Linked DNA regions of Arabidopsis thaliana. The protein of the gene in region 1 binds, or shares a complex with, the protein of each later gene. Each region holds a gene or a part of one and is shown in the gene's direction. Other genes may lie near its edges. The genes, in order: MTACP-1 and CIB22.

The links.
Region 2: the proteins of MTACP-1 (region 1) and CIB22 are in contact, whole or in part, in a cryo-EM structure (PDB 8BEH), measured with the Arabidopsis thaliana proteins. Residues at the interface, in NP_181990.1 of Arabidopsis thaliana: Asp78 (codon at 5,877), Ser79 (codon at 5,880), Leu80 (codon at 5,883), Asp81 (codon at 5,886), Val83 (codon at 5,892), Glu84 (codon at 5,895), Val86 (codon at 5,901), Met87 (codon at 5,904), Glu90 (codon at 5,913), Glu91 (codon at 5,916), Lys94 (codon at 5,925), Leu95 (codon at 5,928), Glu96 (codon at 5,931), Ile97 (codon at 5,934), Asp99 (codon at 5,940), Lys100 (codon at 5,943), Ala102 (codon at 5,949), Asp103 (codon at 5,952), His118 (codon at 5,997), Met120 (codon at 6,003); in NP_567970.1 of Arabidopsis thaliana: Glu18 (codon at 4,587), Arg21 (codon at 4,596), Ile22 (codon at 4,599), Tyr24 (codon at 4,605), Arg25 (codon at 4,608), Arg26 (codon at 4,611), Leu28 (codon at 4,617), Lys29 (codon at 4,620), Leu32 (codon at 4,629), Arg38 (codon at 4,647), Phe41 (codon at 4,656), Arg49 (codon at 4,783), Phe52 (codon at 4,792), Asn53 (codon at 4,795), Tyr84 (codon at 5,678), Ile85 (codon at 5,681), Val86 (codon at 5,684), Pro87 (codon at 5,832), Trp88 (codon at 5,835), Ala89 (codon at 5,838).

What each region holds. Positions count from the first base shown.
Region 1 is NC_003071.7:18,409,052-18,417,900, forward strand, and holds MTACP-1 (mitochondrial acyl carrier protein 1), read left to right. Parts: upstream 1-5,149; 5' UTR 5,150-5,268; coding exon 5,269-5,460; intron 5,461-5,837; coding exon 5,838-6,014; 3' UTR 6,015-6,284; downstream 6,285-8,849. Other genes in the region: AT2G44600 (uncharacterized protein), read left to right, coding at 1-735; RAB6A (Ras-related small GTP-binding family protein), read right to left, coding at 2,727-2,873, 3,154-3,244, 3,629-3,740, 3,914-4,002, 4,100-4,170, 4,716-4,832; AT2G44630 (Galactose oxidase/kelch repeat superfamily protein), read right to left, coding at 6,778-7,896; AT2G44640 (TRIGALACTOSYLDIACYLGLYCEROL-like protein), read left to right, coding at 8,235-8,506, 8,657-8,849. UniProt on the Arabidopsis thaliana protein: Carrier of the growing fatty acid chain in fatty acid biosynthesis. May be involved in the synthesis of short and medium chain fatty acids.
Region 2 is NC_003075.7:16,552,339-16,562,315, forward strand, and holds CIB22 (LYR family of Fe/S cluster biogenesis protein), read left to right. Parts: upstream 1-4,399; 5' UTR 4,400-4,535; coding exon 4,536-4,667; intron 4,668-4,770; coding exon 4,771-4,812; intron 4,813-5,602; coding exon 5,603-5,684; intron 5,685-5,829; coding exon 5,830-5,885; intron 5,886-5,982; coding exon 5,983-6,024; 3' UTR 6,025-6,061; intron 6,062-6,202; 3' UTR 6,203-6,696; downstream 6,697-9,977. Other genes in the region: GATA3 (GATA transcription factor 3), read left to right, coding at 1,362-1,643, 1,745-2,272; AT4G34690 (uncharacterized protein), read right to left, coding at 3,125-3,739, 3,751-3,759; ADC2 (arginine decarboxylase 2), read right to left, coding at 7,977-9,977. UniProt on the Arabidopsis thaliana protein: Accessory subunit of the mitochondrial membrane respiratory chain NADH dehydrogenase (Complex I), that is believed to be not involved in catalysis. Complex I functions in the transfer of electrons from NADH to the respiratory chain.

The sequences.
Region 1 (8,849 bases):
GGAACCGGAACCGGAGCTGGAGGAAGAGACTCCGTAGCTTCTTCTAATAACCGATTCTTCGCAACGCCGCAAGTGGTTGTTCAATCATCGTCATCGGAAAAAGTCTTCGAATCAGACAGATCGTTTAAGAAGAAAAAAAGCGGTTTATCTAGATTCTCTAGCTTCTTCAGAACGAGATCTGACGATTACGATTCGCGTCGCGATTCATGCGACGCCTCCACGGTTTTTTCTCAACCGTCGTCGGCGACGACTTCACGGTCATGGTTTTCGAAGGTTATATCAGTTCGATCGAAGAAACAATCAACCACCAATACTTGCTACATCGAAGATTTGATCGCTTCCGAATCCGATCATCATCATCATAATCAAAATCGACCTAGACAGAGATATTGTAGAGGAATGTCGCCGGCGGGAGATTCAACGACGAACGATGAATCAGTTGAGGAATCTCCAGGGAGATTAAGAAGAACGCCGGTGATGGGAACTCCGGGAAGGAAAAAGACGGCGACGATTGGGATTGGTAGAAGTGTATCAGGGATGGCTTTTTGCTTAAGTCCATTAGTGAGAGCTAAACCTAACTGTTCTTCTAACTGGAAAGCGAAATTTCCGCCGGATTTTGGATATTCCGGTGAATTGAAATCTCCGGCGAAGCCTCACCTATCAACGGCGGCGTCTTTTTGCGGTAACCGGTCTAAGAAGCTTGTGGATTTAGGTAGAGTTGATCACCGCCGTTGATTTTTTTGGTTGAGGTCAAAATCTGACCGTTCTTTGTGAAATTACCTAAAATACCCTTCACAAGATTCATATGGTGTGGCTTTACTATACCAACAGATAAAGAGTGAATTTACTTTTTTTTTGGTTATTCATTACAGTATATTATAATGTTTTGTGATTGTATATTAAAGGAAGAAATATTCGTTTTTATATTTAGGAGATTAGAAGAGAACAATGTCGTGTGTTTTCTTTTTCTTTGGATAGTCTAATGTGTATCTCTTTTTTTCTTATGAGAATTTTTGGGTGTACACATCAAAAAATGACAGATAGTAGAAGAAGTAAACCTATGACTAGTTCATGTCAGAATTGTAATACATTGCTATTATTTTTGAAGTTTTCAAATCTAAAAAAAAAAAAATCAATGCTTTGTTGGTGATAATAAATGTGACACATACCCTTGTGTTTCTCTTAATCTAGAGAAACAAAATCTGACAACACTTAAGTCTTAGACATTGGCAAAGTCAAAAAGAACCATTCACAAATCCAATTTACTAGTCTCACTTACTAACCAGACACATGAAAAACCTAATAAAGAAAGCTAGAGAAAAAGTGGGCATATAGATCTAATAACATAGGTCTCAATTTCGACGAAAGATAGACGACTTTTATGAAGATCCAAGTACCGTCTAAGAGAGTTTCAAAGGTTTAAAAAGAGTAAAGACTAAGAGTTTAATACAAATATACGGAAGTAGGACCAATTTAAGATTTAAATTCCATGGGTCCATAGTCGTGAAAGAGTATTATAAATATAACGAAAATTAGACTAGTATGACTCTGAGGACTTATTTGTAATTTGTCATCTTACAGAGAGCATTAACGGTCATAAAAGGGAAGTTGGCATTTAATGAATGGGGGCTTTTGTTGGAGAGGGGAGAATTGAAATAGTGTTTCTTTCGTGGCTCTACCATCTCCTCTCACCTACATCTTCATTGATTTCAACTTACTCATTCTTTTTTTTTTTTTTTTGAAGGGGTCTATCTTTAATTATGGTCATTATTGCGAATTATGCGTTTGATGAGTTAGTGGGAAAATTCAAATAAAGCACAAGTGTTATGTAATTTTTAGCTATTAGTTGGTACTATGTATGAGGATTTGATTGATGACAATATAATTATGAAATATAGTGTCATTAAAATTTTCAAATAGCTTGGTTGGACTATTCAAAAATATGACAATACTTTTCAGCTGCAATGAAAGAAAAACAATCGTACAAGTTTCTGTTTTTTTTTTTCTTTTTCAAAAGGATATGTCATAAATTCATAATAAGTAATTACAAAAAAACTCATTCCACTAACTTAGTTCCATAAAATCGTTACGAGTGATTATTGCTGATTAAGTGAGTATACACATTATTTGGGATAGAATTGCTGAGTATACTCCAACTGCATTAACCCACCAGAGCTTTTTACGATGAGAGAAGCTTAATTTTAGGGACATGGTGGAACTGGAGAAAAATACCTGGGAACAGTGTGAGACTTTGAATTTAATTAGCTCATTTAAGTGATCTGAACTAACGACATGTGTACGAAATTAATTATCTGTTTCTTTATGGGTCAAAGATTAAAAATGCTGTGCTTCTTTCTCTATCAGACTATCACATGGAAAGACGAAACGAAATGAGAGTTTTTATTACCTAGCAGCTCACAGTTATACATAATTAAATTCATAGACCGACAAATCACAGTTTTGAGAAATAAGTAAACAAAAGTACTGAAGCAGCGAGCATTTGAAACTCCAAAGACCACAAAAGATCACAGTTAGGGACAAACCATAGCTAAAACAGAGTCTTCTTTAAAAACAATCCGATGAAGAAAAAAAGTTGAAAAACAGGCAAAAATTTTACAGATGGAAGACGATAACTGATCGAATCATGCAAAGGGGCTTGAGGACATTTTTTAGTAGTGTGTTTTGTTGTTCTCTATCGATTTGTTGTTGTGTTGTTGTTGCCAAATCTAACAAGAGCATCCTCCTGATTGCTGCTGAGCGAGAGATGCATTTGCATTGGAAGACTTGAGATTGACATCAACCATATCCTCTTGCTTTGTTGAAGACAATGTCTCCATTCCCGGCAAAGCTGCTGCTATCTTGCGGAAGAGCGCCTAGCAATACAAAAAGGTTTGAAATCATAAGAAAACAAGATTTGCACGGAGTGATAGCGTTATGGATTTGCGGTAATTGTTTAGAGAGTATCAGTGAAAGATCCATACAAATGAGGAGGATGTAATAATCAGCAGGTTGGGTTAAAAATTTATAAGTCTAGGTTAATTAACTATTGAATATTGATGGAACTAAACAAAGTTAGGGCTTAGTTGAACTAAGCAGCAAGTTTTTGTTGTGCAAGAAACCCTCAGAAATGTGTCAAGCCAAGATCTTTGTTACCTTAATGTTGAAGCCCGCTTTGGCACTGGTTTCGATGAACATTACATTAAGTTCGCGTGCCTTAGCTTCTGCTTCCTCTATTGACACTTGCCTGAGAAACAAAATATTTAATACAAAGGCCCAATTGGCAGTAACAAATGTAGTAGGCACCATCAAGTGTCAAAGCGTGTTGACTATAAAGAAACCCTGTAAAGATATGCAGTTGAGCAGCAAATGATTTTCCATTTATTATCTTGTAGGGTCGTTTGGCAACATACTCAATACCACCAGAAAAGTAAGACGTGGTTTAACAACAGTTTGTACTTGAGTAAAACAAAAAAGACACCCATTCGTCTTGTCAACATACTTACGAAATCAGAGCGTGTTTAAACAAGGAGGACTACCAAATTTCAGTCTCAATTGCTATTGAACAGTAATTTGCACATCATGGTTTAACAAGAAACAAGTAGAGGAAGAGATGGTAGATCATTATTACCTTTTGTCCACTAGATCAGTTTTGTTTCCCACAAGCACGACTATGACATCACTACCACGTTCTGTCCTAACCTCATCGATCCACTTAGTAGTGTTTAGGAAGGACTGCCTGCCTATATGTCAGTGGAAAACAAAATAAATCTCGAGTTTCACAACGCACAATGGATCAACATAAAGAAGAAATCGAAACGCATAAATTCATAAGATTACTGAAAACCACATCCCCAAGATCTCAGATATGGGAAAATATTCATGTGTTTGAGAGAACGAGTGAAGGTACACATACTTGCAACATCATACACAATAACAGCAACGGAGGAATCCCTGATATAGCTCGGAATTAGACTCCTGAATCGCTCTTGCCCAGCTGTATCCCTGTCATATGATTTCGGCTCTCGATGTTAATCATCAAAAAATGATCTGCAATGTTATTCTTCAGTATTCGAAAATTGAAAGAGGCTCAAGATCTTACCACAACTGAAGTCTGACCGTTCGATCTTCAAGGTACATTGTCTTTGATAGAAAATCAATACCAATTGTGGCCTGATGATTATGAAACAACATAAAAACTACTTAGAAAAGGAAGAACATTCTGTAAAATGACGATAAGCAAGCATGGTTCACATATTATTAGGAGCTTAAACGTAATTCTCATAATCACAGAACAAGATCAGATGCTTTCATTCATCAATTGAGAACTAATTCGATTAGATAAACAATGATAACATGATCAAAGAAACATCCTCATATTAGTGTTACTGCGATCTTCTATTGGACTGAATTCTCGACTTTGTACAATAAACGAGAGTGAGCGATTACGATGCCAAAATCTCATTCAGCTGATTGTTACGTCCTATACATTGACTAAAACACGATCTACAAATCAGATCACACATAATTACGCAAAACCAAACGCCCGATCACGTAAACGAGTAAGAACTTCGAACTGAAAAACACGATTCCCGTCCATGAAAACGGATCTCAAAATCAATCAAACCCTGGGATTTTCCCGACTATAATCCCTCAAAATAGAAGCAAACGTCGTGCATCGTCGAGATAATACCTAGATTTGAACAATGGAAATTTACCTGGTAAGTGTTGTCGAATTTGTCGTACATGAATCGAGTAATGATACTGGTTTTGCCGACGGATTGATCTCCCAGAAACACCAGCTTATACTTAGCGAGTGCCGAGACCGGAGCCATGATTTCTCAAGGATCTAACTCGCCGGACGGATCTGAGAAACGTCGAGATCTCGCTTTGCTGAGAATAAAAGTTTCCGATATTTACCGGAGAGAGATCCCGTCGCTCTGGAATTGCAAATACTGTATTAGTGAGAGTTTGTTATTCGTAAATTGCAGTTTATTCCTCGAGTGACCCAATTGGGTCATTTATGTTAAATTAGAAACTATTTGAGATAAGTTACAAAATATATAAAAACTTAGAAGCTGATTAAGGAATTTACTACATTATGGGCAGCATTTATAAGCCCACGTAAGGATTTGGGCTAGCCTTATAGTAGGGGGCACGTGTCATCTCGTATGACCTGAACTATTTTTGCCCCTTTTGGCTACTTGACTCTTCTGTGTCTCTCTCATCAAATCAAATCCCTAATTCTCGAGCTCGAAGAAAGAGACGAAAATGGCACTGAGAAATGCAATTCTTCGTCACCTGAGGGTTCCGGTGCAAACCCTAGGATTGAATCAGTCTAAAATTGGGTTCCTTGGTACGATCCGGTCATTTTCTTCGCACGATGATCATCTTAGCAGAGAAGCTGTCGTCGATAGAGTACTCGATGTTGTCAAGAGCTTCCCCAAAGTCGATCCCTCTAAGGTCAGCTCGATCTTCATAAAATTTGGCCAAATCGTGATTCTTATCTTTTGTTTTCCTCATTATTGGGAACAAAATGATTATTTTGCCTTGAATATTTGTCAATGTAGGAGCTTTTGGTTGATTTCGTATTGATCTAGTGGAAATAGAGACCAAATGTATCTGAAACGATGTTGCATTAGTGTTGTTAGTAAATTGAAGGTTATTGATCTCAATGTGGTTTAGTAAGTGTAGCTTATCGTGTTGTTGTTCCTATGGATTTGATTTGATATGGTCATTCTTATGGATTTTGCATTTATGAATCCTTCATCAACTCTCTCTAATAAGGGTTGTTTGGTTAGGGTTATTTTTGTTGATGGCTTTGTGATAAATATCGACAGGTGACTCCTGAGGTTCATTTCCAAAACGATTTGGGATTAGATAGTTTGGACACAGTGGAGATAGTGATGGCTATTGAAGAGGAATTCAAGCTGGAAATTCCAGACAAAGAAGCTGACAAGATCGATTCTTGCTCTCTCGCCATTGAATACGTTTACAATCATCCAATGTCTAGCTAATCGCTGTGTGCTCTCTCATGGTTTCTCCTTCCTTTTTCTTGTATGAGGTTCTTCTCTCTTTGATAATGCCATAATGGGATTTGCAAAAAAATCACTTTTATTTGGAGAGCATTGTTATTGACTCTTTTAACGGTTCCAGTTTCTTAAAAAGAAAACCTTTTTGCTTGAATCTTGTGAAAGTTGACACTTTTTCTTGAGTTAATACTTTAATACGATTTGTATATAATACACTTGATTCTTAGCATGGTCTTGATCATACATTGAAGACGAATCTTTGAAAAACATACTTGTTTTAAAAAACTGATCGTCTCTCTTGGATACATATGCAAGACCAAGAAATTGGATCTTATATACTACATTACATCATAACGTGCTATTAACTAGAATTGTTTGTCAGCCATCTTTTGGATCGAATACAGACAGTAGTTTTCATTTGGACAAGTTTTCTGCTTCATCTCAACTACAGCATTTGTACCAAAATACACCAATATCTCTATCCACAAGTTAGATGTTTTAATTAGGAGATACATTTCAGGTTTCGTTTGAATCGATTTTTTAGTAAATGGGACAAAATGGGTGAACTTACAATATTAAAAACTTGCTAAGCTAATTATGCAAAATGGATAGGGTGGAAGGAACAAAGCAAGATGCTGAAACCGCAACAGCAATGAATCTTGTAAACACATTGTAGTGATATTGATCATAATGACTAAAGAAAGACTAAATAAACATCTAACGTCAACAATATATCTCTTGATTAAGTTTAACCCGAAAGAGACAGACAATGGCGCAAACTATAGTTGTTAGGAACGATTCTGAGAAGTTGAGACGGTTCTTCAGTTCCATGAATTCCTACTTCACTCCTAAGCAAGCCAATCATTCTACACCAAATCTCTTTGCTTTCACTAACATTACTTGGTTTTCCCCATATAAACGCCAACTTTCCGTAGTATTCCCCGATCCCAATGCATCGAGCTTTGTCAAGATCTAAACCATAAACCACTCTCCACAACATCAGCTCAGAGTCATACCACATTAACCCAAATCTAAGGAAGTAAACGAAGAGCACATTGTCAATCACGCATTTTCCTGTCTTCCACCAATTATCTTCAGGTATCGTATATCTTTGATAAGAACCATCTCTAGTATCGTAAGAATTCATGTATTCCCTCGAATTTAAAGCATAAACCTTCCTATCAAGTGAAACACTTGCATGCGTGAACCATTCGTTTCTATCCTTTGCCTTAGGAATCGGCGCTGCTTCCCAAGTTTGTGTCTTTAAGTCAAATACTTCCGCTAGGATCTCTTCGCCTCTGTTGCCTCCGATCACATAGATCTTACCACCGACTAGTCCTACGGTAGCTGATAATCGCTCCACTTGCATACTAGGTCCTTGACGCCACTGTCCAGATTGGGTGTCAAAGATCCATACGATTGATGATGAGGGAAAATTATATCCGGGAATGCAGTAAATCTCTGTATCAATTGCGATATTGGAAAGAGGGTAAGAAGCATGCCCGGGACGATAAGGAACATCGATGGAGACGAAGACATTCTCAGTCGTATTCATCTTGTTATCATTCCTCCGGAGAGTGAACCAGTGAAAAGTCGTCCGGTTCCGGTTCGGGTATGTAGTTCTGGTCGAGAAGCATAGATAAAGAGAGTCCTTTCCGTGTAAAGATCGCGTCTTGTGAATCTCCGGCGAGCGAATTAGACTCCGCAAGGACTTGGAGACGCAACAGAGGATTGGGTAATATCGTTTTGGTACCAAGGCTAAGATGTTCAATACGATGTCCACCGGGAGTGAGAACAATGACGGCGGCGTCAATGAAGACGACGGTGGTTGGTTGGTTTTCTGCGGTGGTTCGTCGGCGTTAGACATCGAGAGCTATTAGGAGGAGGAGACTAGAGAACAACTGAGTGAATCAATCAAATTGAGGGCTTTAGCCAAAAACCAAAAGCCGGTTAAATTCTTCTCTGATTCTGCTTTAATCGGTTAAAACCGGTTTATATTTCTTGTCTTGATCAGGGAAACACACAGAGTTTTAGAATAAGGCCCAGGAATAAGCCCGGTGAGTGAATCTTTCTAAGGAATCGATTTTAAAACAAGGCCCATTAAAGGGTGAAGAAAAGGCCCATGAAAATGCTTAAACCCCCTTTGTCTCCCAGCTTCGTACACAGGAGAGACTGAGATAAGGAAAGAAGAAGAGGAAGAAGAAAATGGCGAATCTTAACTCAGCTATTGATTCAGTGTTTTGGGATCAGAACGTTTCTTCACCTCAAACCCTTGAAGGCACTGCTCGCTCTGTTCCCGGTGAGCCATTTCCCTTAGACGGAGCACGAGCAAGCCGCTCTCACCGGATTCAACAGCTCTCTCTGCTTCGCGAAGGCTTTCCTCTTGGAATCATTCCTTCTTTGGCTCCTGCTTCTGACAAGAGACTCGGCTCTTTCTCTCTCAATTCTCTCTTGCTCAGTCCTTCCTCTAACAACTGGTAAATGCTCTTAACCTCTTCAATAATTTACAAAATTGTGAGCGAGTAATGCTTTAAAGGTTGAGACTTTGAATCAAACTGGTGAAATAGTGTTGACATTGTTGGATTTGATGAGACATGTGATTAGTTTTGTTTGGAATTTTCACTCAGGTGGTTAGGTTTAGTTGGGCAGTTCAAACCAAAGAAGCTCTTTGCTGATATCAAAGCAGATATTAGCAATGCAGAAGAGTGGGATTTGCAAGTTGTAAAGGATACAGCAAAACACATTGTTGACAAATCCCTTTACTCTATTGGTTTATGGACTCAGATTGCGTTGGGTACTTCTTCTTCTCTCTTGCTTAGC
Region 2 (9,977 bases), on another chromosome or scaffold:
GGATGATTTTATGTTGTTTGACAAAAAAAATAAAAAAATTGGATGCTTTCTATAAATTTCATGCTTTGTATTTTATTAAATTTTGAGCTATTATTGTATTAGTATAGAATTGAGCTATTATTGGATTGTTCTTATCACTTTGTTAATTTCATTTGGTCCTTTAGTTAGATATCAAAATTTTTAAAATTTTCAAAAAAGATCACAGGTTTAATCGGTGACTTTCAATAATACTAGTTTTAACACGACAAGCAAAATATTGTGCATGTATACTATTAAATTGTTAATGTTAGTACTATGAAATAACAAATTCATCACCATTGTAAAACTTAATGTTTCAACATTTCCTAAGAAGAAATGGTCAACCCTTTTGACAAGACAAGCTAAATTGGCATGGACAAGGAACACAGCATCATGATATAACCCTTCACAATAATTATAATAAAAACAATCAAATTTGTATTGAATAATGCGAAACAGACCTGACTTATCAATATGTGACGAAGGATAAGCCCACGCCAAAAACATCCACGTAAAGAACTCATTGATTAGGTCCAAAGAAATTTGGAGAAAATAAAACAAATCCTGACGTGAAAATAAAAAGAAATCATCACTTTTTTTTATCTCTTTTATTTTCTTCTAAATACAAAAATTGAATAATCAATTAATTTTTCATGTATGCAAACAATTTCTTAACAAGTCTTGTGAGCTTTAAATGAAATATAGAGGCGAGTGGATTAGACTTGATCCTGATCTTTTATTAAGCTGATCCATATTTTACATTGAAATAAAGGACACACCGTTTAACACGAAAATGAAGAGACAAATAAAGAAGAGGAAAAGCATTGATTCTGAAATACCAATATAGTATCATTCGTGAAAGAAGATTTTGTAATATTCCACAAACTTAGAAATTAGGGGAAAAGAAAACAAAAAAAAAAGATAGGAAAAAAGAGCTTTAACTTTTGGAATTGGAAGAAGCACAAACACACACAAAAAAAAAGTCTCTGTTTTACCTTTTAACCCCTTCAAGAATCCTCCTTTAAGTTCAGTGCCCTCTTACTTTTCTCTTATCGGAATATCTCTCTTCCTCTGTTTCTTCGCCATTCTCTCAGCTTTTCTCCTTCTTCTTCGTCTTTGTCAGGTAAAGAGATACGATGAGCATATCCCACATACCTCTCTCCTCTTCTCATCTTTTTAGTTTCTCGAAAGTTTGCATGCGCCGACTTTGTTATAGGTTATAAACTTTAGTTTTAAGCCTATTTTCGTATGTTTATGGTTGTTGTAATAGTTGAGAATTCAGAGTATGTCAAGTGAAACTTAAAAAGAATTCTATATGTATGTGTGTATGTGTTAAAGAGTGAATGGAGCTGTGGACAGAAGCTAGAGCCTTAAAGGCAAGTCTAAGAGGAGAATCTACTATATCTCTCAAACATCACCAAGTGATTGTGTCGGAAGATTTAAGCCGAACTTCTTCCTTGCCGGAAGATTTCTCCGTTGAGTGTTTCCTCGATTTCTCAGAAGGTCAAAAAGAAGAAGAAGAAGAAGTTGTCTCTGTTTCTTCTTCACAAGAGCAAGAAGAACAAGAACATGATTGTGTCTTTAGTTCACAACCTTGCATCTTTGATCAACTTCCTTCTTTGCCGGTAAATTTCTAAACTTCTTTATACCTTTTCTTTCTCTTCTTATAATCGAAAGATTTTAAGTTATATTTTTCTTGATTTCTTTTTTTTTGGGATATTTTTAGGATGAAGATGTGGAAGAGCTTGAATGGGTATCTCGTGTTGTGGATGATTGTTCATCACCAGAAGTTTCACTTCTCTTAACACAAACACATAAAACCAAACCAAGCTTCTCAAGAATTCCGGTTAAACCAAGAACCAAACGGTCTCGGAACAGTTTAACCGGTAGTCGTGTTTGGCCACTCGTTTCAACCAATCATCAACATGCAGCAACAGAGCAGTTGAGGAAGAAGAAACAAGAAACTGTCCTTGTGTTTCAACGAAGATGCAGCCATTGTGGCACAAACAACACACCACAGTGGAGAACCGGTCCGGTCGGTCCAAAAACCTTATGTAATGCATGTGGAGTCCGGTTTAAGTCTGGTAGGCTCTGCCCGGAATACAGACCGGCGGATAGTCCGACGTTCTCGAATGAGATTCACTCAAATCTTCATAGGAAGGTTCTGGAATTAAGAAAGAGTAAAGAGTTGGGTGAAGAAACAGGTGAAGCTAGTACTAAATCAGACCCAGTCAAATTTGGCAGCAAGTGGTAGATAAGACTTAGGTAAAACCTACTTTTTGTAACATTATCTGTAGTGTTGTAATTTAACAACTTGCTTCTTAACATTTTGAAACTGTTTCAGGAACTAGTCTTAAGTAAACAATGGTTTTCTATAAACAAAATTAATGTGTGTTTTTAATGATGTAAGACCACCACCACCACTACTAGTACTTGGAATGATTTTGGTCCATGTGTAGTGGCTTAAATAGACTTTTTGAGTAAACAAAATGCCAAATGGAAGAATCATCTTGAAAACTCCAACATTACTATATAGTATATATATTATTGATAAATCTTGAGATTCGACATATTTATTTGATAATCGATGCAAGCATAATTAATTTAGACATTTATTCAGCAAAAAAAAAAATTAGGTATGTAATTAATTTATACATATCGAATTACTAAAGGTTAATTTTCAGGCTAATCGTAGATAAACGATTTCGTTAAATCCCCATGAAAGTAAATTTAGGCAAATGTATGATGCTATGTCTGCCGCATAATTGTTTAATCTCACCATTTGCATATCAATCTTTAAGGGAAACATCCTTTTAATGTGTTTATGTGGCCTTGTCTCCGTTTTATTGCTACTTTGTGTCATACTCAAAATAAGTTGACTATAAAGCTACATGTATCTACACAAAAAGAGAGTTTATTTAGTATGCTTGCTTGGGAATAAGCAGGAGACAAAAGAAAACATCCAAGTTAAAACATGAAGCAGCAAAAGAGAGTGTTCATCCACAAAATGTGAGAGGTTTCTTAGCATATAAAGATATTGATATAAATCTAATCATTCTCGTAAGAACAAGAACAAAATGAAAGAGCCAAAAACTAAACCCATCTTTCACTTTTTAGATACGAGAAGTGCCACGATCTTTTGAAGATCTTCCTGATTTTGCTTTGCAACCTTTGTAATCTCATCAAGCCGGTGCATGTAGAGAGCATTTTTGGCACTCATCTCTTTCTTAAACTCATGGATAACCACACTCTTCTTGTTTATCTCCAACCACAAGTCGGCTAGGCTTCTATCCGTTTTAGAGGTGTTCCATAACCCCCAAACGAAGGAGATGCAAGTAAGAGAGCCAAAGAAACACCAAGTGAGAAACGAGGTATAGGTTTGTGAGAAATCTCTGGAGGCCTTACCTAGGCAAGTGTACTCCACAAAAGTTTGATGCTCCTTCCCTTTAGCTTTAGCCAGTAGTTGAAGCTTCTTAGCTTGAGATATGTTGATAAATTTGAGAAACTTCCATTTGCGTTTGACGCTCCTCTCGCATGATCTCTTGACCCCGATGTAATGAAGCCTAGTTGCTAAAAGTTTAAAAACCTTGAACCATGTCGATTGTGGATCGTCATTAGGTGTGTAATCATCATCGTCATTATTGCTGGATCCATCATCACTCTTTTTCCCATCGCCGGATCCATCATTGCTCTTTTTCTCACCGGATCCATCATCATCACTCTTTTTTTCACCAGATCCATCATTAGAACTCCTTACAATTTTATAATACTAAATTTTGAATAAATTAAAGTTTAAATTTTTTGTTGAATCCTTATATTTTTTATTGTTCAATGGTGGAATTCTTAAGTGGATTTCTTTAAAAAAATAAATATATAATATTATAATATATTTCACCAAACATAATAATTATTAGAAATATTAAAATTCTAAACATACATAATATAAAAACAATAAAAAACTATAAAAATGAAAAACTTGAACCACGATAAGTGTTAAACTTGATTCGTGCAAAATTTGTGTCATATATATTCAACCAAATCAGCTCTTTATTGTTCACGCTTAGTCTAATCACGAAATCAAGTTGAGTAATCCTTAAAAGAAAAAAAAAAAGTTTGATAATTTTGAAGTTTAGATTTTTTGTTGAGTACTTATAATTTTTATTATCGAATGGTGGAGTAAGTGAATTTTTTTTGGGAAAAGTGAGTGTATAATGAAAAGACAGATACGTAGTGTTAAATAATTTATTTCTTTGACTGTATCAACAGTCCGTTGTAGTCTAGCTGGTCAGGATACTCGGCTCTCACCCGAGAGACCCGGGTTCGAGTCCCGGCAACGGAGTTTGTTTTTACCTCCTTCTTTTTTTAATGGGCCGATTTTTGTCTTAATTCAAGCTCTAATCAAAGGCCCATTTGAAATTTTCTTCTCGGTCCCTCCAACGGAAACAGAAGGTTTTCCACTGTAAAAGATGAAAAGAGTGTAGAGAGACTCGAAATCAATCGGAATCAGGAAGACAAAAATGAGCGGAGTTTCGACGGCGGCGTACTTTGCGCGGCGAGCGGCTCAGAAGGAGAGAGTTCGAATCCTTTACCGTCGTGCCCTTAAGGATACTCTCAATTGGGCTGTTCATCGCCATATCTTCTACCGTGACGTAAGTCTTTTCCTCAGATCTCCGAATCGGACATGGACTTTTTGATTTTTTACCGATCTCTCATTTTGGTTTTTGATTCCATTTGATCTTCGTTACCTTTCAGGCTTCTGATCTGCGTGAGAAGTTCAATGTCAACCAAGATGTGGTTTGTTCTCTTCTCCTTTCATTTTGCATACCTCTCTCTTTGCCTTGTTTCATTGTTGATTGTTAAAATGTTTGATAATCCGTAGAAATGGAAATTGATATTGTTTTGTTTCATTTAATTTGGTAGAGAGACTTTAGAGATATGATGAGCATAATCATCTAAGTGTGTGTGGATGAGAAAATTGGGGACTTTTGTTGTGGAAACACCTCTACTGGATTTTCTCTTGCTAAGTTGTTTAGGTTCTTCGCTATTATAAAAAAAAAGTGAATAGGTAGGAGATATGGGAAATAGAATTGCTGTTCAATGATTTGTGTGTTGAGTTTGCATATTCCACTCATTATCATTCCAATATTGAATTCAAGTAAAGGATGTACCTTTTTAAACTGGAGTTGAAAATCATATTATGAAATTCTTTTTTCAACTACTGCCACAATGTACATTGAGTCTCTCATCTTTGGTTGTCTCTTGATATGGTCCTTTTGTAGGAGAATTCAAAGTTAGTAGGATTTAAGCTTTTAGAGCATTGTTAAGCTAGATCCAAAACATAGAAAATAAGAGTGAAATGAAATAGCTAATGAAAGCTTTTTATAGTGCAAAGGAAATAAAATTATTAGTCTTTAGATTGTTAACAGGAACAAATTCATTTTAGATTTGATATTTCATAAGGGAAAGAAGGAGAGATGCAATCCTCATCTTGCTAAGAAACCTGATTACATGGGCTTATGAACTTGTATTTGGTCATTCTTGGGCTTTATCAATGCTCTAATACCTTTGATTGGGGTATTTGTAGGAGGATGTCGACAGAATCGACAAACTGATTGCTCATGGTGAAGCAGAATACAACAAATGGCGGCACCCTGATCCTTATATCGGTAAGCGTCTCGACCCATATATGAATCGTGGTAGATTTGATAGCAAGAACTCTTTGTCAGGCTTATGGAATTCCTCGTAGATTAGATAACATGAGTAGTCCACTTCCCGAATTGGACACTAAATGACACACATTTTCTGTTGTAGTTCCATGGGCTCCTGGTGGCTCAAAGTTCTGTAGAAACCCGACTCCGCCTGCTGGGGTAATTTTTTGTTCTCAACACTTATCACTTTTTTCTTCATGATCTACCTTTCTTCTTCGCAACTGCTGATCTTTTATTGTGTGTGTGACTGATGCAGATTGAGATTGTGTACAACTATGGTCTAGAAGACAACCCATAATAAACCTAGCTTCCATATTGTCACACCCATCAATAAAGTAAGTTAGAGAATTATCAAATGCTAAGGCTGTATCCACAATAGTTTCCCTTCATTCTAGTAAATGTCCCTCATTATATCGAAATGTCGCAGTAGAACCACTAAGACGTTATGTTTCAATGGTGTTTGTTATATATTGCAGATTGAAGCATCCGGTGGCTATGGTTTGGAGATAAATTAAACTGACTTTCAAGGTTGAAACTTTGAGGGACCAATTGTTATTTTCAAAGATGTTTCGTTCCAGTAAGACAATTCTTGTTTCAACTTGGTTTATATCTTTCATCTAAAACATTTCCGGCTGCTCTTGAGTCATGGATGTTCGACCATGAAAACTTGTCAGTAAAACAACAAAATTGTGGTCTTTTTTTCTTTTTTCAACCTTGGCTGCAAATCGATACTGGTCTTTGAGGAGGCTATATCTTGAGAAGGTTTTAATCGAACAACATCTCATCTCACTCTCCCTTTACACGTCATTGCGTCTAAAAAGGGTTTTGTTCTTCTGTCTCTGTTGTTTTGATAATCAGCTTTGTCTTCCTTAATAATTGTGGAAACGCAGCGTATAAACACATTCCAAATCTGTTAGAGACACAATTTGAAGTCTTGTACCACATATTGGTAATTTTGGGTAGATAGGAATCGATTATCCAACTTGAGAATCGGGACCGATCCCTGCAAATTGATGTCGTCACGTAACACTTGGCATTTTCGGTGAGGACCATGGTCGGGAAAAGTAAATGCCGATTCCAAACCCAAATTGCGAAATTCAAAGCAAAGATGTTATAGGATTGGATTCTACCAACCTTAGCCCCTTTTTCACTTACATTGTAAAAGAAACGGCTACAATTTTGCAAACGAAAATAGAGAGCTTGAAGCAAAGATTAGTAGAAACAAGATTGAACATAATGTTTTGCAGTTTTTGGTTGAATTGTGAATCACTTAAGCTTTGACGTTTAAAGGTTTTAGATTTCGAGGAAGGTTTAATGATTCTCTCATCATTCTAAGAAAGAATGATAAATATATTTATAAGTTATGAATACAATATATGTTAATAAAAACACACCAAAAAGTGAAACGATCATCTACAAATTGACCGACATGAAGCTTAGTATTACCATATTCGTCAAACTTTTCACCTTTAAATTTGAATCCTTCCTTTTTCTCTACAGTATTATATGCTTTTTTTTCCACGATCGCCAACAACCGGACAAGTATAATGGAAACAACAACACGTTATCTCGAATATGCATAATGTCAAAAAATTACCTCCACGTAAAACGAAACCTGTTGCACACCAAGCCGTGACTTAAAAATAAAGACCACTATTCGATAATGCAAGATACGGCTAAAAACACTCAATCATGAGCCACATTATCAAATAATCATTTAACCGCTTCCCAAAGCCTAACAGATAAAAGATGTCAGTCGATAAAACACATAAATGTCAGAATCTAACATCTCCATGTGATACTTGTGTGTGTTGTCACATTCACTTCTTCACTCATCATAACAACATCGGCCCACGACGCCGGTTATAAGATGCGGCGAACCTGATCCGTTAAAAATACCACTAGACAATTTTTTATATTTTTTATTTAAAATTATTATAGAGTGAAAACTGAAAACAACTTATTCACGATTCATCGTTTATTTATTTCTTTTATGTGGTCAAACTTTTTTATTATTATTATTATAAATAAAACGGGAACGGCTACATTTGAAGGGGGAAATAAATATAAAAAGATCCGAATTTCACAAAAGGCTTTCATAATTCGGATCTTCTTACTTAAAACCTTAAACAACGATGGATCATGGATCTCATCATGTTCTTATTTAATAACTTTTATTTAAAGAAATCGTACAATGACGATTTTACGATAATATAATGCAACAACAAACCACACGACGACCACCTTTTCTCACGCAGAGATGTAATCGTAGACGTCTTCGTCGCAGTAGTAAAACCCAAGGTTACTGATCGCAGCTGAAAGAGAGTTACTTGGCGATGCCTGCTCAGTTGCAAGATACGGCATGTTGTGGAACGAACGGTCGAGAGAAGCCGCCACATTGTTGAACTCATCATCTTCTTCTTCCTCTTCATTTTCACCTTCGCTACCACCTTTGGTATGCATCATTTCCTCTGCTCGGTGCTTTAGGGTCTGAAACATTAGCTCCGGCTCATGCTGCATTGCTCGGAGAACATCCGCTGAGGACTGACCAGGCACCGCTCGGGTCACTGCAAAGCTGTGTGGTCCATCGCTCTGGGAGACCCGGACAACGCTTGGTCCACCAAACAGATTGTGGACTCCACCGAGAGCCTCCTCGTAAGCCCCTCCAAGGAACATACCCAAAAAGTACCTTCCTCCACTGCCATTCTTGTCCAGCTCGTGCAACGGCAAGCTGGATTCACCGCCTATGAACTTGTTGATCTTCCCGTCACTATCACACGTTAAATCTGAAAGGATTCCGCGAGCCCCGGGCCTTTGATCGAGCTTATGGATAGGAACTATAGGGAACAGCTGATCAATCCCCCAGAGATCAGGAATCGAAGTGAAAACTGATAGATTGATATTGTAAGTATGAACCGGATCCGATGCGCCTATAGCCTTCAACACCCACTCGCATAAACCATCAACAGAAGCTAACTGCTCGATGCTCAAAACACCTTCTTTGAAACCTTCAACACACCTCTGCTTCAGCTGATCGACATAAAGAAGGCAGCTTTCGTGGTCTCCACGCATCACAGCAGCATAAAGATCCTCATAATTGGCTCGAGCTTCCTCATTACCTTCAAGCAGGAACTGAATATCGCCGGGAGTTGCTTGATGAACCATTGGTTTATCTGCTGAAACAGCTTCAAAGATCAGCACAGAATGATGAGAGACTATCGCTCTACCGCTTTCGCTGCATATCACCGGATGTTTCACTGAGCTCCGGTCACACACAACCCGAACAGAAGCTACAACAGCTTCAGCATACTCCTCGAGACTATAAGCAACAGAGAGATCCGATTCTCCAGATTTAGACCCGTCGTAGTCAATCCCCAAACCACCACCGATATCAATAACTTTCATATGTGCACCAAGACGCACAAGTTCACAGTAAAGCTGAGCAGCCTCGGCGACACCATCAGAGAGCAACGAAGTCGACGGAATCTGTGAACCAATATGAAAATGCAGAAGCTGGAGACAATCAAGCATACCAGATTGACGCAGCTTCCTCACCACACGAACAATCTGAGTAGTAGTCAATCCAAATTTACCCTTTTCACCAGAAGTTGATCCGAAATGACCCGAATGCTTAGTCCTCAGCTTAGCCCTTAACCCAATGACAGGCCTCACATTCATCTTCTGGCTCAGCTCAATAACCAGATCAAGCTCTTCTTCTTGCTCAAGCACAATCACAGTATTCAACGCCAGTTTTCTCCCAAGCAGAGCCAATGATATATACTCAGCATCTTTGAATCCATTGCACACAAGAAAGGCATCAGGGCTACCTTTACACAAGCAGCTCATAGCAAGAAGGATCTCAGGTTTAGAACCAGCTTCTAATCCAAATCGAAACGAAGATCCAAACTTGACAATATCTTCAACAACGAATCGATCTTGGTTACATTTCACCGGATAAACACCTTGGTAATGAGAATCATATCCTTGACTTTTAATCGCGTAATCAAACGCAGATTGAAGACACTCGAGACGGTTCTTCAACACATCAGGGAAACGAACGATCAACGGAAGCTGCAATCCTAAACCACCGGAAGATTTCGGACCCGTCACCTTCTTAACGATTTTGAGCAAATCGATGTCTTGGTGAGGCAAAGTTTCAGAGCCATGAGGACGAACAGAGATGTTACCAGACGAATTGGCTATGAAATAAGGGGCTCCCCATCCATCGATTCGATAGAGAGACGATGAGAG